3 linked regions of the Schizosaccharomyces pombe genome follow. Changing the gene in region 2 together with the main gene of any one other region gives a genetic interaction. Each region holds a gene or a part of one and is shown on either strand. Other genes may lie near its edges.

Region 1 (7,544 bases), 5.0 Mb from region 2:
ACTGGATCATTATATTATCAGGAATATCTTTTTCAGTTATCCTATTTTTTTAATATATTATTAATAAACTAATAAATTGTGCCGTTAATAACACAATACATTTCATGGAATATGCACTAGAATTGTTAGAAAATACAACTTACAGAAAGCAGCCCCTTTTTTTCTTCTTTCCATTGCATGCAGCATCCTATCTTAAATGTGAGTTGATGTATTTTCGAAATACTTCGTCTCCTTTCTTTAATATTTGCCGGTCAAATAAATGTTCGGTTGAGGGGCCGTATTTTTAGACCAAGTCCAGACTCATCGACCCAAAGTAAAAACAGTTATTGAGTAAGGAGGCGTAATTTATAGTAAAATCTAACGCAAATGTGGGACTGAATATTTTGTCTACATTTGTGGAAACATCGAAATTTAGAACATTTCTAAAGTTGCACATGGTTTTAAAGATTTTTTTACGTGTGGTTGAAAAGAATGTATTATTTCATTCGTAAATGATTTTATGGATATTATATTTTGATAGCAGCTTCATGCTTGCTCCGCTCAAAATATCTAATTGAAAGACAGCCATTTTAGTCATAAATGTTGTAGAATCTGCTCAGAGCTTACCAAGTTACTCTCAACGCTATAAGCAGAAGTAAAATGTACACAAAAAGAAATCCCAAGTAAGTATTGCGGTTTCTCAGAGTTGAGATTTTTTTATTTCACGCGCTTAAGAAATCATTTCAAGTTGTAGTTAGGATTAATAGATCTGATAGAAGTATAATCGTTACAAATAGACCGCCGAGGCAAAGCGAGCTTTTTTTTTCAGAAAACTGACAATACTGGAGCCAAATTAAACAAGCGTTTTCTAGTTGCAAGCTTCCTGAATTAGTAAATTTAATTGCTATTACGGCTGCGAATTACATGTAAAAACTTTTAATTAATATTATTTGCGAAGTTGATTCATTTTGTCACTATCAATATCGTCTAATTAAAACAGAAAAAAAATATTTGCCATCGCATACTAGTTCTTCTCTTCCCAAAACAGAGGTTTGGTATTCATAAAATGACTACTGGAATATCCAATATATTAAACTCGGATATTAAACATAAAAAGCAGGGTTCCGGACATTCAATTTCCAAGTGAGTTTGAACTTTATAAATACATACCGTAAAAATACTGGAAATGAAAGTAATTTTAAAATTTAATAAACTACGGTTTTAGTTTTACGGGAATCCTTGCATTCCGAAATAAATTTTGATAATGCCTTTGGAAAAATAATCGGTTTATATAATGACATTAGTGAATCTACAAGCTGTTCCCACTGATTTTATAAGTTTTTTTACAAAATGCTTTCAGTCGTTGGTTTGCTTTATAATTTTATAGAAGTTTGATTATTTAACTATTATACGAAAACAATACCAAATAATGGGTTACCGAAAAATATTTTTTAAACAGCGTGTTCATGAAAATATTGGTATTACATTCAATATCTAGAATGTATTTTATGTTTAAAATGTACAGAAAAATTTCATCCTCGTTGAGCTTTTAAATATTAACAAAACATGTTTTAACAAAATCGACAAAAGTGAATCATAAAATTATATATCATAACATAACGTCCAATTATTCTAAATAAAAAAATCTTTAGATATGAGTTAAAACTTTTTTGATATCTTAACTAATTTAGCTAAATCCTAAGTATGTTAACCAAATAGAGAAGCAAGTATTTCATGACGTAATGGTCATATCGGCCATTTTTAATATCTGTTGTTTTGAAAAACCAAATGTTTTAAGGACTAAAAATTACAGGTAGATATATGAATAAATAGCAAAAAAGAGAAGAGAAAATTTCGGTCAAAGTTGAACTTGAAAAGGGGGTTGGGCAATATAAGTAATCATACAAGGTAATCGTACTACTTTCGCAGTACATAGAGTAAAGAAGAGAGCAAGAAAATTGTGTTACGCAAAGCGGAAGAAAAATCGGTAATACGCAAAAACGTAAAAAAGAAGTCAACAGGAATCCAAAAATTAGGTTTCAAAGTAAGTTGAGGGAAGAAGTAATAAATTCGAGACACCGCAATATAATGGGAAAATCGTCTTTTTTGATATGAAATCAATTTTAATTGAAGCTGCCGCTATTGCAACAACATAAGGGCGTCCCAAGCATTAAGAAGCTGAAAATTTTTACAGCAACAAAGAGTAACACAACAAAACCCTAGTGCTTAAATTAAACAAAAAAAATGGGGAAGACATAGCTCTTTGTCCATCTCAAAAGATAATATAAAAGCTAATATATGCTTAGTATAAAGAGAAAAGCTGCTCCACAATAATAAGAATAAATAAATAAAAAGTAAATGGTTTCAATCTTCTGCATTTTGTGACATGAAAGATTATTAAGAGTTCAATTATTCTCAATCGGAGAATCTGTTTTTTCCAAGTTTTCAACCTCTTCTTCCTTCTCAAATTTTGCGGTAATCTGATGCACTTTTTTATCGATAAACCCGTTATCTGGATAATTAAGTGGAGACTCTGGGCCCGTAAATATTACTAAATCATAAATAAGTCCTCCAGCAATACCACCTCCTATGGTACCGCCCCAAGCACCCCAAGTCCACCACCAATGATACAGGTGAAATGAATGTGGTCCATAGCCAATCCACCATGCAAACATACGAGGTCCCAAGTCACGAGCTGGATTCAGAGTGAAACTTGTTTGATATCCAAGAGCCATACCAATAGCTGCAATAAGCAAACCAACGATAAAAGCAGTCATGCCCTGGGTTGGTGGAGAGTTGGTATCATCTAGAATGGCGAATAAACATCCTACCAAAACGGCTGTTCCAATAAACTCATCGAAAAATGCGTTTCTCCAAGTGACGTATGGTTTTGGATTGGTGTACAAACAACCACCTGTTGCCGGTGTTCTAATATCTTTGCCTCCTTCAAATTCAGTAATTGAACTCCAATGGTAACCATAGGCAAGTGCACCTCCAAAGAATGCACCCCAGATTTGGAAAAAAATGTAGATTGGCACTTTATACCAAGGAAATTTGCGAAATATGGCTAATGAGATAGTCACAGCGGGATTGACATGACCACCACTGATTCCACCAGCTATATAAACGCCAAGCATGCAACCAAATCCCCAAGCAAAAGAAAGGGATTCGAAGCTTCCACCTGCTCCATTAGTGACGGTAGCTTGCAAATTACTGCCTACACCAAACACAACCAAAACCAAAGTGCCCAGGAACTCAGCAAAACCCTCACGAAAAAAGTGTCTAATCTTGCACCAATAGTTGAGATACAGGGTTTCAGTATCGCTTCCCGAGTCTAAACTTTCTTCAGCAATAATTTCATTAGGAGGCATAGTAATATCTTGAGATGAATCTTGTTCAGCTATTGACGGTTTCCTAGAGAAACTAACATTATTTCTTGGGGTCTCTGGTTCAGCATTTTCCGCATGCTCTACCGTTATCGCGGAAGACTTACGCTGGGTTTGGGGTTGCTCCTCAGCAATGGATGGTTGACGGCTGCTTTGAAGCGAGAAACTAACTTTGGGTCTTGAAGCGGCTTGTTCCGCTATGGAAACGGAAGATTTATTGCGCGGCAATTGAGCTTCTTCATCATTAAGCTTGACTCTTGATCCAAAAACAGCACTCTTCATTTTCCGTTTCCAATTGGGCGATCCATCCATACCAGCCAAAGAGACCGAGGAGTTTGCTCTGGAATTTGCTCTGGAATTCACCCTGGAATTTGCTCTAGAACGAGCTTCCTGATTCTTTTGAGATATTTTTTCTACCACAGAGTTACCAAGAACATGTGGCAATGGTCCATTCAAACTCCACACCGGTTTGTTGGGTCTCCTCCCAGCATTCAATTCTTCGTAATAAGGATCAACATAATTTCGACGCGATTGTCCGGATATATCTTCAAGTCTTCCAGCAAGGTACCCACCAAGCCAGGGTTGAGAATCCGAGTCGGCAGTGTTGTCCAGGCCTTTGAGGTTGGGTGAAGAGAACGCAACTTTTAGGGTATTTTTGGGACGCATTTGTCGAGCTTTAGTGGTATTGACTCTTCTTGGCACGTCCGTCGTATTGAAAGTGTCTAATTCAGTTGTGGGACCATCATCATGCACGCTCTCATTATCTGAGGCTGAAGGAGATGATGATGGTGTCGAGAAGCGTAAAGGGACGCTCATTTAGTAGTGAATTAGACGGGACAAATCTTGGCTTTTATGGAAATTTTTTGAATGCACGCGGGTACTGGCGGGAATACCAAAATTAAGGTTTGAAATAGCTTTGGGAATAAGGTGGAGTAAAACAGTGCATTATATACTCATGCAAGTGGTCCAGATAACCGAAGTTAAGCAACCGTCGATGACAACGTGTAGTGGCGGCACAAATTTGGTGACGAATCTTAAGCGCAAATCAATTTATCTACAGAATATTAAGAATATGTGTTATAAATTTCCCTGAATTGGACAAGTTTATACAATGCGTTTGCACACTCGCATAACTGCCGCTTCAACCGTAATCAACAATTGGTCAGCTAGGCGGGTATGCCGGATATTTGCAAATCTTAGAACGCACCGCGCGCGGGGTAGTAGTAATGTAAAGAATGAGATAAAAAAGCAGGAAGGGAACGTTTCTTTTCAATTAAAAATGTCTGTAAAACAATTTGTATCTGACGGACATATAGTACGCCCATACTTGCTTGGACTTGCTAGAAGTAACCCTGGTCTTACTGTTATTGAACATGATCGTGTGATTTACAGGACAGCTTCTGCCCCGGGTTCTGGTGATCTTCCTAAAGTAACTTTAGTGTCTGGTGGTGGTAGTGGGCACGAGCCTACACATGCAGGTTTTGTTGGTGATGGAGCCTTGGACGCTGTAGCTTGTGGAGACATTTTTGCTTCTCCCTCTACTAAACAAATTTACTCTGCCCTCAAAGCTGTTGCTTCTCCTAAGGGAACTTTAATTATTGTCAAGAATTATACAGGCGATATTATTCATTTTGGCCTGGCAGCTGAGAGAGCCAAGGCAGCTGGAATGAACGTTGAGCTTGTTGCCGTAGGAGATGATGTTTCTGTAGGCAAAAAAAGAGGTGCACTCGTAGGAAGAAGAGGTTTAGGAGCCACTGTGCTAGTACACAAAATTGCGGGATCTGCAGCAGCATTAGGATTGGATCTGCATCAAGTTGCTCAAGTGGCCCAATCAGTGATTGACAATGCTGCTACCATAGCAGCTTCATTGGATCACTGCGCCGTTCCCGGTCGCAAATTTGAAACCAACTTGGGTCCAGACGAGTATGAGATTGGCATGGGTATTCATAACGAGCCTGGAACCTTCAAATCATCACCACTTCCATCTATTCCCGAGCTAGTTACAGAGATGCTTTCAATTTTGTTTGGTGAGAAAAACCCGGACAATAGTTTCGTAGAGTTTTCTTCAAAAGACGATGTTATCCTTCTAGTAAACAATATGGGTGGTATGTCCAATTTAGAGTTGGGATATGCTACTGAAGTAGTTTCGGAACAATTAGCCAAACGAGGTATCATTCCTAAAAGAACCATGTCTGGTACGTTTGTAACCGCTCTGAACGGTCCTGGTTTTGGAATTACATTGGTCAATGCTTCTAAGGCTACTCCAGATATTTTCAAATATTTTGACTTGCCAACAACCGCTAGTGGATGGAACGTTTCTTATCATAACGCAAAGGACTGGGAGGTTTTGGCTGACGGCAAGGTGCCAACAGCTCCCGCTTTGGAGCATACCCGTAATGAGAAGCACAGCGGTGTAAAGGCTGACCCAAAGATGTTTACTAAAATTTTAAAAGCTGCCGTTGACGCTATCAATGAATTTGAGCCAAAGACAACTTGGTACGATACGATTGCAGGAGATGGTGATTGTGGAACAACCCTTGTGAATGGTGGAGAGGCCATCACAAAGGCTATTAATGATAAATCGATTCGATTGGATGATGGTGTAAATGGTATTGACGATTTGGCCTATATTGTTGAGGATTCGATGGGAGGTACATCGGGTGGTCTTTACTCGATTTATTTGTCTGCGCTAGCCAAAGGAGTTCATGAGTCAGGCGATTCCGAATTATCCGTGCATACATTTGCGTTTGCAAGCAAGTATGCACTTGACGCTCTTTTCAAATACACTAGAGCCCGTAAAGGATTCCGAACGCTTATTGATGCTATTCAACCATTTGTTGAAACTTTAAATGAGGGTAAGGGACTTGATGCTGCTGCGAAAGCTGCCACTGAAGGTTCTGAACAAACTAGAAAAATGGATGCTGTCGTTGGAAGAGCATCTTATGTTGCTAAAGAAGAACTTCATAAGCTTGATAGTGAGGGAGGATTGCCGGATCCTGGTGCCTTTGCATTGGCCGCTATTTTGAACGCAATTGTTGAGGCAAGCGAACATTAAAGCGTTTTTTATCACTACCTCAGAATTTGGCTCTATGTTAATAATGCACATAGTTAATGTTGGAAAGGCATATCATGTAACCTGAGTTTAAAATTGTTTTGGCTTTCTTTTAAAATTTTCACCATAATTACAAAATGTTTGATTAAATTTTGTATCCACTGGCTTTTTTAGAACTTTCTTTTAAGAATCAATATATTGCGAATAAAAAAGCTTGGATCAAATGATTACTGATGTATTATTTACACTTTTGGTCCTATTGTCTAGTATTAATTTGTAGGAGGCGTTGGAGAACGTGAAAATATTGCAGTAGTTATAGCTTACAATTCGTCAAAAAAAGAGAATTACATGCAGAAATTGTTAAACGAATTTACCTGCCGAAATGCTATGTAGATCTGATCTGTAAAGCGAAAACGAAGTAGACAATCACATGCACTGTATGGTTTTTTTCAAAAGACTGACATGTTACTCGGTCGGCGATCATAAACTGATCATTTAGCCAACCTTTCTGATTCTTAGCACTTGGTAGATGTTTGCTGAATACTAGACGGAAAATTACGTGAAATGTGTTGACAGAGAACGCTATTATCCAATAAACATTTTGGACAAACTATTTTGTCTAAAATGTAATTTTTCTTCAAATAAAGTAAGCGATTAATTTTTTATTATGTTTGTTTTAATGAAGAAATTTGAAATCTAGAAAACCCAAAAAAAAATATCTTGCATGAATTCAGTGTTTCCTTAAGGAGATCCGCACACTTTCAAGTTGTCTCGTTCTGTGTTATGAAACAGCTAGTTAATTATAACCATAAAACTAGACCGTAAATCTTTGTACGAATTCGGAAAAAGGTACGTTTTATTGAAGCAGCTAATGGATGAATTTATAAAGCATTCAGCCTAGTTTTTTCTTTTAAGATTGATAAAAATTTTTGTAATTTCAGAAATTTCTAGTTAGGTAGTATATGACGAATATGGAAATAAATTAGGCCGCATTAAACTTTTGAAATTGTATCCTATAATTACTCTCAATTGAAAATGATAATAGTTGCAGTAGTTATAATCACTTAACGAAACTTTATTGAATATGAAATTAACAAATGTTGTTGGCGGTCAACGACAGGTGCTAT
Region 2 (5,368 bases):
CAGTCCATTCCAAGCAATGTACAGGAAGTTATTCATACGCTTTCATCTAAAGGGTTTCGAATCATTGCATTTGCATCCAAGAACCTTATTACTCCACTTCAAGAATTGATACATCTTTCTCGTTCTACTCTAGAATCCAATGTTACCTTTCAAGGATTGTTTGTATTAGAGAGCCCTTTAAGAGAATCATCTAAAGATGTTATTTCCTCTCTTTTAAGAAGCAAAATGGAAGTTTCGATTTGTTCTGGCGATTCATTGTTCACTAGTGTTTTCGTTGCTAAGCATTGCGGTGCATTAGACTCATGCAATTTTATATACACAGCTGAACTAGCAGATTCTGGGGATGATTGTCCACAAATCCATTTTGAAAAAATAGATTTACAAACTCAGAACTTTCAGCCCATTCCCGACGGCTTCTCTTTAAAAGATGTAATCCTCGAGAAGGATTCAAGCCTTTGTATGGATGGAAAACTACTTCAAAGATTATTGACCATGCTTTCTTTTAATGAAATTAAAATCTTATTAAGTAAACTAAGGGTTCTCGCTAGAATGTCCCCTTTTGACAAGGCTACATATGTGGAGCTTTGTCAAAAATATGGCTGCAAAGTTGGCTTTTGCGGTGACGGGGCAAATGACTGTATTGCTTTGAAGCAAGCCGATGTTGGAGTTTCTCTCTCTGATTCCGAGGCATGTGCTGCAGCTTCCTTTGTTAGCAAAAAAAAATCAATTAAGGATGTTTTTAATGTCTTATTGGAGGGCAGATGCTCCTTAATACTTAGCCATCGTTGTTTTCAATATATGGTGTTGTGTGCTATAGTCCAGTTTTCTGGTGTCTTCTTTCTCTATTTAAAAAATTATAACTTTAACGATAACCAATTTTTGTTTATGGATCTGTTAATCATATTTCCACTGTCAGCAGCTATGAGTTACTTCGACCCTGCTCAAAATTTGACAAGCAATCGCCCTAATTCAACATTGTTTGGCAAAGGAAGAGTAAAGGATTTAGGAATTCAATCAGTATTAATATGGCTATCCCATGGCTTGCTGACTTTAATACTACACGAGTTGAACTGGGTTGAATTACCTGAATGGCAACTTGAAAAATCAAATACGAAAAACGTGCTAGTGACTAGCATATTTCTTTTAAGTTCTTTACAATATTTAGGAATTTGTATTGGAATAAACCAAAGTTCCGAGTTTTTGTCACCTATTTGGAAAAAAAGTAAGTGAAAATCCTGTCTTTTGTTTATTAACATCTTATGATATAGAAACTTATGTATGTTTGTGTACTACCATTGGCCTTTGCAATATCTATCTATGTTTTGCAAATGAAAATCACATTATCTCTAGGTGTTTGCAAATCACACGTCTACCGACACTGTATCGTTTCATAATACTTTTTATGGGAGTTATCTCGTGCTGCCTTACGAGTATTCTGAACATGTAAAAAAAACAAAATTAAATATATATATGTTAATCAAAAACTTGCTTTTATGTGCAATTAGGGTAGAAAAAAAAAGGAGTTAAAGAGAGAAACAGGTTTGGGACATTAAGTAAAATATCAATGAATGTTGTATACGACCGGTTAACTTAAATATGCCGTAGCATCTTCCTCTAATTGTTCATTACCCCAAATTGAGCGAGAAGGTGTCCAAATTTGAAGAATATTATCTTCAGCAGCGGTTGCCATTGTCCAATTATAATTAGGACACCAATCCATGTCAATTGTACAAGAAGTATGGCCTCCGTGCATAAAAAGAAGCTCCGGAGGACCGTCTTGAGCTTCCTCAGCAGGCTGATCTTCCCCGATTCTTGAAAGATCCCAAACTAAGGTCCTTCTATCGGCTGAGGTAGAAGCAAGAATAGGCTCTTCATGAGGAGAAAAGCTAATTTTTGTTACAATGTCTTCATGTCCTTCTAATGTATGTAAGCGTTGATTAAGGTTCCGTAAATCCCAAAGTGCAATGGTTTTGTCAGTCGAACAAGTAGCCAAAATAAAGTCGTTATGAGGGTTGAAAGCAACAGAATGAATAGGACCGCTATGGGCATGCACACTTCGAGCTGGCTTTGTGGAAGCATCAGGGCGACGAATATCATGAACATGAAGGTACTGATCATAGGAAACTGAAGCAAGAAGATCCTGGTGCTTATAATGAAAGCGTACATCACTGACCTGTTTTTCATGGCTGCTTATATGCACTTTCAAAACTGACGCTGAATCTGACTCGTTGTAAGCATTCAAATCCCAACAAGAAAGAGTAGCGTCTTGCGATCCAGAAACCAAAGTACCCTTAGAAAGAAAATTCCAACAAACACTAGTACAGGGCTGGGTATGTTTGGTCAATCTATATTTGGGCTTAAGAGGAGACTCACTAGCCGAGCTATAAGATTCGAAGGATTCCTTGTCAAAAACCAACACATCATTATGATAGTTACCCACCGTAGCTACACAAGAATCGTCTTGTGGCATAAGCTTCGCACTACAAACAGACTCAGGATGAGAATAAAGATTTGAGATATTAACACGTAGAGAAGACTCGTCACCCGCAGATGCTCCCTCCATTGTAGTAGGAGGAACAGTCTGATTTAAATAGGGTAATTGAATAGACGCAACAGCTAGTAAGTATTTGCCAACATCAGCACGAACTCCCAGAAACATTTTCTGCTCAGTATATCCATGTTCTGCAAAACTATAACAAAAAATAATGGTAAGTTTTTTGAGTCACATAAACAAGATTAAACATTATGATTCAAATGATTGACTTACATTTGCTGCTCTGGATACCATTGTAGTGACATACAAGGCCATTCCAAAGCTCTAGTAATTATTAAATCGTAAAGGAACGGTGAGTTCTTTTTCCAAATTTTATACTCTGTTTCAGATTAGAAACACATTTTACATTGATCAACTAGAAATTGTATGTTAAAACGTTGCAGACATACCTTCATTGATGCATTTTTCTTGATTTATTCCCTCCTCCGAAGCCTGCGCTTGCTTGGAAGGATGGGGAACAGCTGATACAGCCATTATGTTCTAGTTAAAATGATTGAATCTGCTTTTTGGTGGATGGTGAGTAGACGCGTGCAGCGCTAATGTGCACACTAAGTGTTCTTAAATAGGTGCAGGTTGGTTTATAAATTAAGATTGTTTAGGTTTTATATAATCACAGCCGTATAGATGTTTAAATGGGAAAAAACAATAGAAACTTAATCTTGTCTCATGCTTCGGCTAGCGTCTTTTCATCTTCTCTCTCGACCTGAGATGCGTTTCCACAGTGCTAGAAATTGCAACTTTTAAAGAGACTGTTAATTGTAAAAAGTTGAATTACTAAAAATGATTATGTTTGCTGAACATATGTATACAGAAGTGAGATATAATTTGGGTAGCACAAGCTTCCCGATGGACTGCTATAAGACACAAGATGGAAAGATAAATTTATAGAGCTGAGAGTTAAGAATCTTTAATTTAGATGAGTTTTTTTTTACTTTGCTTTCATGCTAATTTCATCTACTCTAACTTCTGCATGAATCAGTGCGTCAAGAACAGAAACACTTTGAAGCTTTTTTTTAGTCACACAAGGCAACAACCGCTTGAGAAGCAGGATTATTAAAATTGGTAAAAAAATTATGTTCCTCTTAGTTTTAAGGTACATTCAACTTGTGTATCGCCAATAGCAAAACGCAGCCAAAATTTCTGAAGTTCTCCTTTTTTTGAATATTCAATTGAGCGTGAATAAAAAGTATATGATTTAAAATAATGATCTCCCACCTGTTCTGCAATCCTTGGAAAATGCATCAAGTCATACTGAAAACCAAACGAGCAAGAAGCCGAATTCAAGATGCCCTCGTATTCTTGCGTACCCTTAGTAAAAGAAATGAGAAATATATTTAATTTAATTGTTAAAATGAAGACAATCCCGTTTCAATATGTATGCCGTTCTTTACATCAAGAAAAAAGAACTTCGAAGCAAGTCATACCAAACTAAAAGATCGTTGATCTTAAAAAGGAACATTATTAATTTTAGAAACGATGATGAAGAAGCACAAAATTACCTTTCACTTAAATACTTCGTACACAATACATTTGTTTACATCTTTCTCTTATAATAAATCTACCTTAAGACACACACTTTCTCAGTAAGCTGATTAAGAAAAAGCAACGAAGATACTTTATCCATCTTTTATTTACATCTTCGAGACATGACGTTTCGTAATAATTCCCACCTTTAGACTAAACCGTTTCCACCAAATTTGTACCTTTTCTATTATTTTTCTTTATTTTTTACTCTCACATAATGAATTGTTTACTTCTAGGAAGAGGATTCTTGCACAGGTTTCACCCATTTCGCCCAGTCTTGTGTGAAGATTCGGCAAGTGCTGCAACTACTATCACCTCTCAATTTAAGCTGAATTACCGTCAAATCTTTATTGGAAGCTCTCTTGGTTTAGCAGCCGGATTTGCTTTAGGAAAATTGGGCCGTTTATTCATCGTTGCCTGCTCCGCCGTTTTCGCTACCATTGCTGTAAGTGCTTAAGTTTGATTCTTTATTTATATTTAGAGGTTTTAAAAACCTTGTGTTTCGCACTGAAAATCGTATTTATCTTTCATAATACTAACACAATACGTTTATTAGTATATTAACAGTAAAGGTCTGATCCGAATTAATTGGCCCCAGCTGCAGCAACAAGTTATAGGTCCTACGGAGCAGTATACTGGATTTCATTTCCCAAGTTCAGGTAGGTTTAATACTCAATCAACATTTCCTACCATTCGTAATTGGATCTGTACAAACCCCAATTTCAAGCTGAGCTTCTTTTCAGCTATGTATGTTGGATTTGTGTCATCATAAAAGTGGCTGAATTTCACCACAACACATTTCGATTTTGATACATTGTTCAGCCCTCGCACTCCTCTCAATTCCTATGATTCCTTTGAACCCCAACGTTCGTTCTATACTACCAATAGTGAAACATTTTGCTCACGCTCCTGTTCAGAAGCTTACTTTTCATATGCATCTATCTAACTATAATTGAGTTTTCATTCATTAACCAATCAACACGATTTTCTTTGTTTTGGTACCGAATTTAATTATTAAGTAGCTGCACACACTAATGTCTTAGACAGTGGAAGTAACTCAGATATGTCAGCTCCGTGCTCATAACTTTCTAGGTTTAGTTAAAAAGTGACTTACTAGTGCATGCAACAAATCACAGACACCACGCTCACTAGTGTACATATAAAAATGATAACGAACGTAATATAAAGCTTTAATGTAAGAATTCTTTAAAAATATATACATATACCCAAAATATGTAGTTTAAACACCAACTCTCTCCCTTTCCTCTTGGCAATTGGAGTGCCGGTGTT
Region 3 (4,507 bases), on a different chromosome or scaffold from region 2:
ATTCGTTAATCAAACTGAGGATATCATCAATTATCTGAGTACGGCACGATCTTTAGAATTTGTTACAAAGTTTCCTGTTCCAAATATTAAACATGCACCTATAAGCTTAACTGCATCTTTGGAAGAATACCTCAATGATCCGGATTTTGAAGAAAATCGTAAACAGTATCTTCAGAATAAGTCAGGATCGCCTGTTGAAGAAACCGCTATTCTAAATAGAAAGCCAACTTTGAGAAAGAAGAAAAGCATCCCCAAAAAGCAAAATGAAAGTTCTTCAACTATACAGAAAGAAAACACTGTTCAACAAGAAGCTTCGTCTTCTGAAGAGGAAGCTGTAAAAAGTTTACCGGAAACCCAGAGAACCACTAGCCGTATAGAAACACAAGAAGAAGAAATAAAAGAAGAAGAGATGGAAGGAGAAGAGGAAGAGGAGGAAGAAGAAGTACCAAATTATGAATCGGAAAACGAGCTTGAAGACAAGGTTGGCGATCTCTCTCTTTCTTTAGGCGTTGCTTCTTCATTCGTCGATGAAATGCTTAGGGAGCGAAACAATTTGAGCGCTGAAGGAACGAGTGCTTCACCTTCATTAGATAAAAAATCTGAAAGTACTAATATAGTGCAGCCTATTCCGAGTCACCCGAATGACTCTCTCAACCCTTTTTACAACAGCTCTTCACCAACTTATCACCCACAACCAATCCCCCCTCAATTACAGCAAGTTCAACTCTTGTCCCAGATGGCTGGAAATCAGATGGCAAACATACAATATACAATGAATGGGATGCAACAAACTGGAGCTTCTCCAAACACTGCTTTGAATATTTCCCAAGTTAACATGTATGCTCAAAATAATCCTGTAAATCCTTCAACAACCAATCCTTTTCAAAACTTTTTAAGGCAACCCTCTTATCAAGGAATGCAGTTTGAGCAGCAACAACCGACTACCATACCGTTACAGCCAAATATTCCTGTATTGAATCAGCAGTATCCTGTTATGATTCCTGCCATGGAAGACTCAAGGGGTCCGCTACCGTCCCCTGCTCACATTATGTATCCTGAAGGGTCTCCTGGATTTATTCAACATTCTCCTAATGGGTTCACGCATGGCCATTCGGCTTCCCCAGTTAATATTGGACAAAAGTTGGATGTTCCTGAAAGGCCGATGTCTACACCGTACACCGCATCTAAAAACCCCTTTTCAACGAGGGAATTGGCTGAACCAACTGATTTAGCGAGAAATTCAATTTCGACGGAGTCTAAAAATCCGTTCCGAAGTTAGGTTTGTTTTTGTTGTCAATGCACCCATCATGTCGTTGTATATAATCATGCATAAGTTATTGCTGGCTAGCTAATGACCCATTTATTAATATTATTATACTAACTCGCTCTTTATCCAAGACTTTCTCGATTTATTTCTAGTTTAAAAGAATGCCGATTTGCTGTTTATACCTTCTTTGTACTATCAGTTTTACAAATACCAGAAATTTCTACATTTTTATCAATAGAGCTTAGAAAGTTTTGTAACAATTGTAATTATACATATATAAAATCATGAAACTATTCAAATCTGGTCTCTAACATTTGAAAAATCTAGTTCAGGATGTTGTTTCATGAAATTTTGCAGTACATCTTTTCGTTTTTGTTCATCGGTACGCTTTTGGCTTTGCTCCAACATCATTTTTTCAACTGTAGCTCTTGTTTCTTCATCTAGATCAGATAATTTTGAATTTTCGGGCTCAATTGAGCCTATATCGATTGAGGGATGCCCTTTTATAACACACGACCACCATTCCATTTTATTGGATTTCTCGAGATGGATAACAAGCCTTTCTTGTTCTTCGACAGTCCAGGTGCTTTCATCTAAATTGATCTGTTTTTCGAGTGGACCACTGAGAAGGACTTTTCGTTCTGGGACGTTGATTTGAATTTTGAGATCGTGATTTGACATATCTACCTGGAGGGATTTCGCTCTTGTCCCTTTGGGTACATGGATGACAATATCAACATCGGCTATTGTTTGATCCCACTCGTACTCGGCCTCTTCGAGTTTTACTTGATGCATTCTTAAACCTGCAGCTCAACTCACGCTTTTCGTAATCGGTTGATTACTTTGTAATTTTATTAAATATGTGCTCGTTTTTGGCTAAGCAAATCAAATTCTTTTACGAGCCTAAAAAATGAAGCTAGATTTGATTAATGTATATTTAATTACCGACTTCATAAACCGGAATTTCAAGATTACGAGTTTGTACGCTACGTTAAAGAGCTAACGTTTGATGGTTTGCGGTGCACACAGTGGAGAGTCGTGCAAACTCGCAGGCTGTAACTTTTACTTGTGTTCTGTTACGTTTATTTTACTAACATTCGATTTTTATACAATACTCTAGAGTTAAAGATTTCACTTTTTAAAAAGTAGAATTTTGTTGCGCTAAAAAAAAACTTCAATTTTTGAGGAAGGTGTAACTCAAGTTATGTATTAGGCTTTGCAAATAAACCGAGTTTTAGGAACAATTCAATTTATTATGAAATTTGCTCAAAGCCGTTTATATGGGCTATGGCGCAAATCACAACAAGCATATCATAACATTAAAACATTAACGAACATCGTTATGTAAAATCTACCAGCATCATTATGTTTACGAAGTTATATGTAGCAACGAAAGGTACAACTGTTGCAATCATTCAAAATTTGTGTGGTAGATGCAAAATAAGCATGGGAATTGGGTTTTCATGATTATGATTCCTTTAACAATTGCTGTCGCTTAAATAAACTCGAAAGTCTCATGAATTAATGCAAAATATCAGCGCCTTATTTTAACTCAGTAAATGAACAGAGGGCTCGTTAAAGGTCAAAGGTTAAATTACTTAAATTTTGGACAATGCGAAGATGATTAAGGCACAAAATGATTTAGAGAAGAATACTGGAAGAAAAAATATAAACTATATTTAAAAGTACTATTGAAAAGTTTTGTATAAAGAAATCTTCTGGATTTTCCTTGTTTGCGAAATGGATATACTGCCAACGTATCGGTGCCTTTATTAAGCAGTAAACAAACAAACCCAAGTTCTTCCAACAGCAAACACTTCAAGATGAATAAAGGCCCAAGACATCGTCCAAAATTCTTATCAAAAAAGGGAAAAAAGCTTCGCATAATGGTAGCAGGATCTAGCTACACCAGTTACCAAGCTTGTATCAATAGCTTGTGCAGTAAACAAATACTGGAAGCTGAAACAGAGATAGATCCGCTAAAAGCTCATATTGATAGAATACTGGAAATAAGGGAATTTAATGCTGGTGAGTTATTACGGTTTTAATTTTCGTGTGCTAACTGTAATTAGATATTTTAGAAGATGAGTTCCATGTTGACCTTACGGTCATTGAAGTAAATGGTTTCGGAGATAAAATTGATAATTCAGCTAGGTAATACCAAAAGGTATTTTTCTAAATTAAAGCTAATTTCAATGCATTAGTTTCGAGGTAGTTACTCATTATTTGGAAAGCCAATTCGATCAAGCCTTGATAGAAGAATCTAAAATCAAAAGAAATTCTAAATTTACTGATACGGTACGAAATCTGCAAACAAAGTTTTTCCGTCCTTAACTATTTCAATCAAGTTACTTCCATTACTTGATTTAATGTTGTTAAGTAGAAAACCAAGAGAACACATTGGTTTAAGAATGAGGAATGAAAAAAAAGTTTTCTAACGATATTTTAGCGCGTTGATGCCCTACTTTATTTTATTGCACCCCGTGGACATTGCCTGTCTGAGTTTGATTTGGAAGCCATGAAACGGTTTTCAAAGCGCGTAAACGTAATTCCTGTCATTGGAAACTCCAACGCTTTTACTGAAGAAGAATTAAAGAACTTCAAAGATGTGATAATGAAGGATTTGAAACAATGTAACATAAAGGTATTTGACTTTCCTTGGGATCCTGAGGAGGATGAAGACGAAGTCATTGAGGATAACAAACGACTTTGGGAAAGTGTTCCATTCGCTGTATCTGGAGGGGTATCAGAGGAAGATGAAGAAGGATATCAAAGAATCGTCAAGAAATTCCAATGGGGAACATTCGTAATTGATGATCCTGCACATTCTGATTTTCTTAACTTGAAGACCGTATTGTTTATTTCTCATTTGGATATACTCAAAAGTATAACTAAACAAACCTATTATGAGAATTATCGTACAGAAAAACTGTCCAACGACTCACCTTCGAACACATCATTGTAAGAAATTAACTATGCATAAGCGAGCTAATAAGTTAGGTCATTGCAAAAGCAAAATTCCATAGTTGCAAATGAAGATAAAAGAAGTGTAAATGGTTCTGAGAGAACGGAGACTCGATCTTCGATTGATCAATCAGAAATGCGAACTAATGGTAAGTATATGCATTCTCTCATTTTCGTGCTAATGAACGCAGTCTCCGATTCTACAAAATCTGAGGAGTTAAAGAAAATTAACTCCATCAAAGTTGACAACACCAGCAGTCTTAAATGCGATTCTTA

Evidence for each region. A genetic interaction does not mean that the proteins touch.
Region 1: mutations in prw1 (region 2) and SPOM_SPAC977.17 together harm fitness more than expected from each alone (negative genetic interaction), as found in Schizosaccharomyces pombe (one large-scale study listed by BioGRID).
Region 3: mutations in prw1 (region 2) and nud3 together harm fitness more than expected from each alone (negative genetic interaction), as found in Schizosaccharomyces pombe (one large-scale study listed by BioGRID).

What each region holds. Positions count from the first base shown.
Region 1 is NC_003424.3:63,780-71,323, reverse strand, and holds SPOM_SPAC977.17 (MIP superfamily protein), read right to left. Parts: upstream 4,645-7,544; 5' UTR 4,182-4,644; coding exon 2,385-4,181; 3' UTR 1,503-2,384; downstream 1-1,502. Other genes in the region: dihydroxyacetone kinase Dak2, read left to right, coding at 4,645-6,420.
Region 2 is NC_003424.3:5,108,847-5,114,214, forward strand, and holds prw1 (histone chaperone, Clr6 and Rpd3L complex subunit Prw1), read right to left. Parts: upstream 3,037-5,368; 5' UTR 3,029-3,036; coding exon 2,944-3,028; exon of another isoform or gene 2,874-2,943; coding exon 2,768-2,873; exon of another isoform or gene 2,691-2,767; coding exon 1,586-2,690; 3' UTR 1,448-1,585; downstream 1-1,447. Other genes in the region: Ca(2+)/Mn(2+)-transporting P-type ATPase P5 type Cta5, read left to right, coding at 1-1,222, 1,269-1,447; fun14 (integral mitochondrial outer membrane (MOM) protein), read left to right, coding at 4,296-4,523, 4,635-4,850. UniProt on the Schizosaccharomyces pombe protein: Has a role in chromatin assembly and chromosome segregation. Involved in the deacetylation of histones.
Region 3 is NC_003423.3:3,229,076-3,233,582, reverse strand, and holds nud3 (nuclear movement protein nudc), read right to left. Parts: upstream 2,192-4,507; 5' UTR 2,063-2,191; coding exon 1,562-2,062; 3' UTR 1,503-1,561; downstream 1-1,502. Other genes in the region: yap18 (ENTH/VHS domain protein), read left to right, coding at 1-1,279; meiotic septin Spn7, read left to right, coding at 3,091-3,295, 3,340-3,421, 3,472-3,565, 3,717-4,228, 4,268-4,380, 4,423-4,507.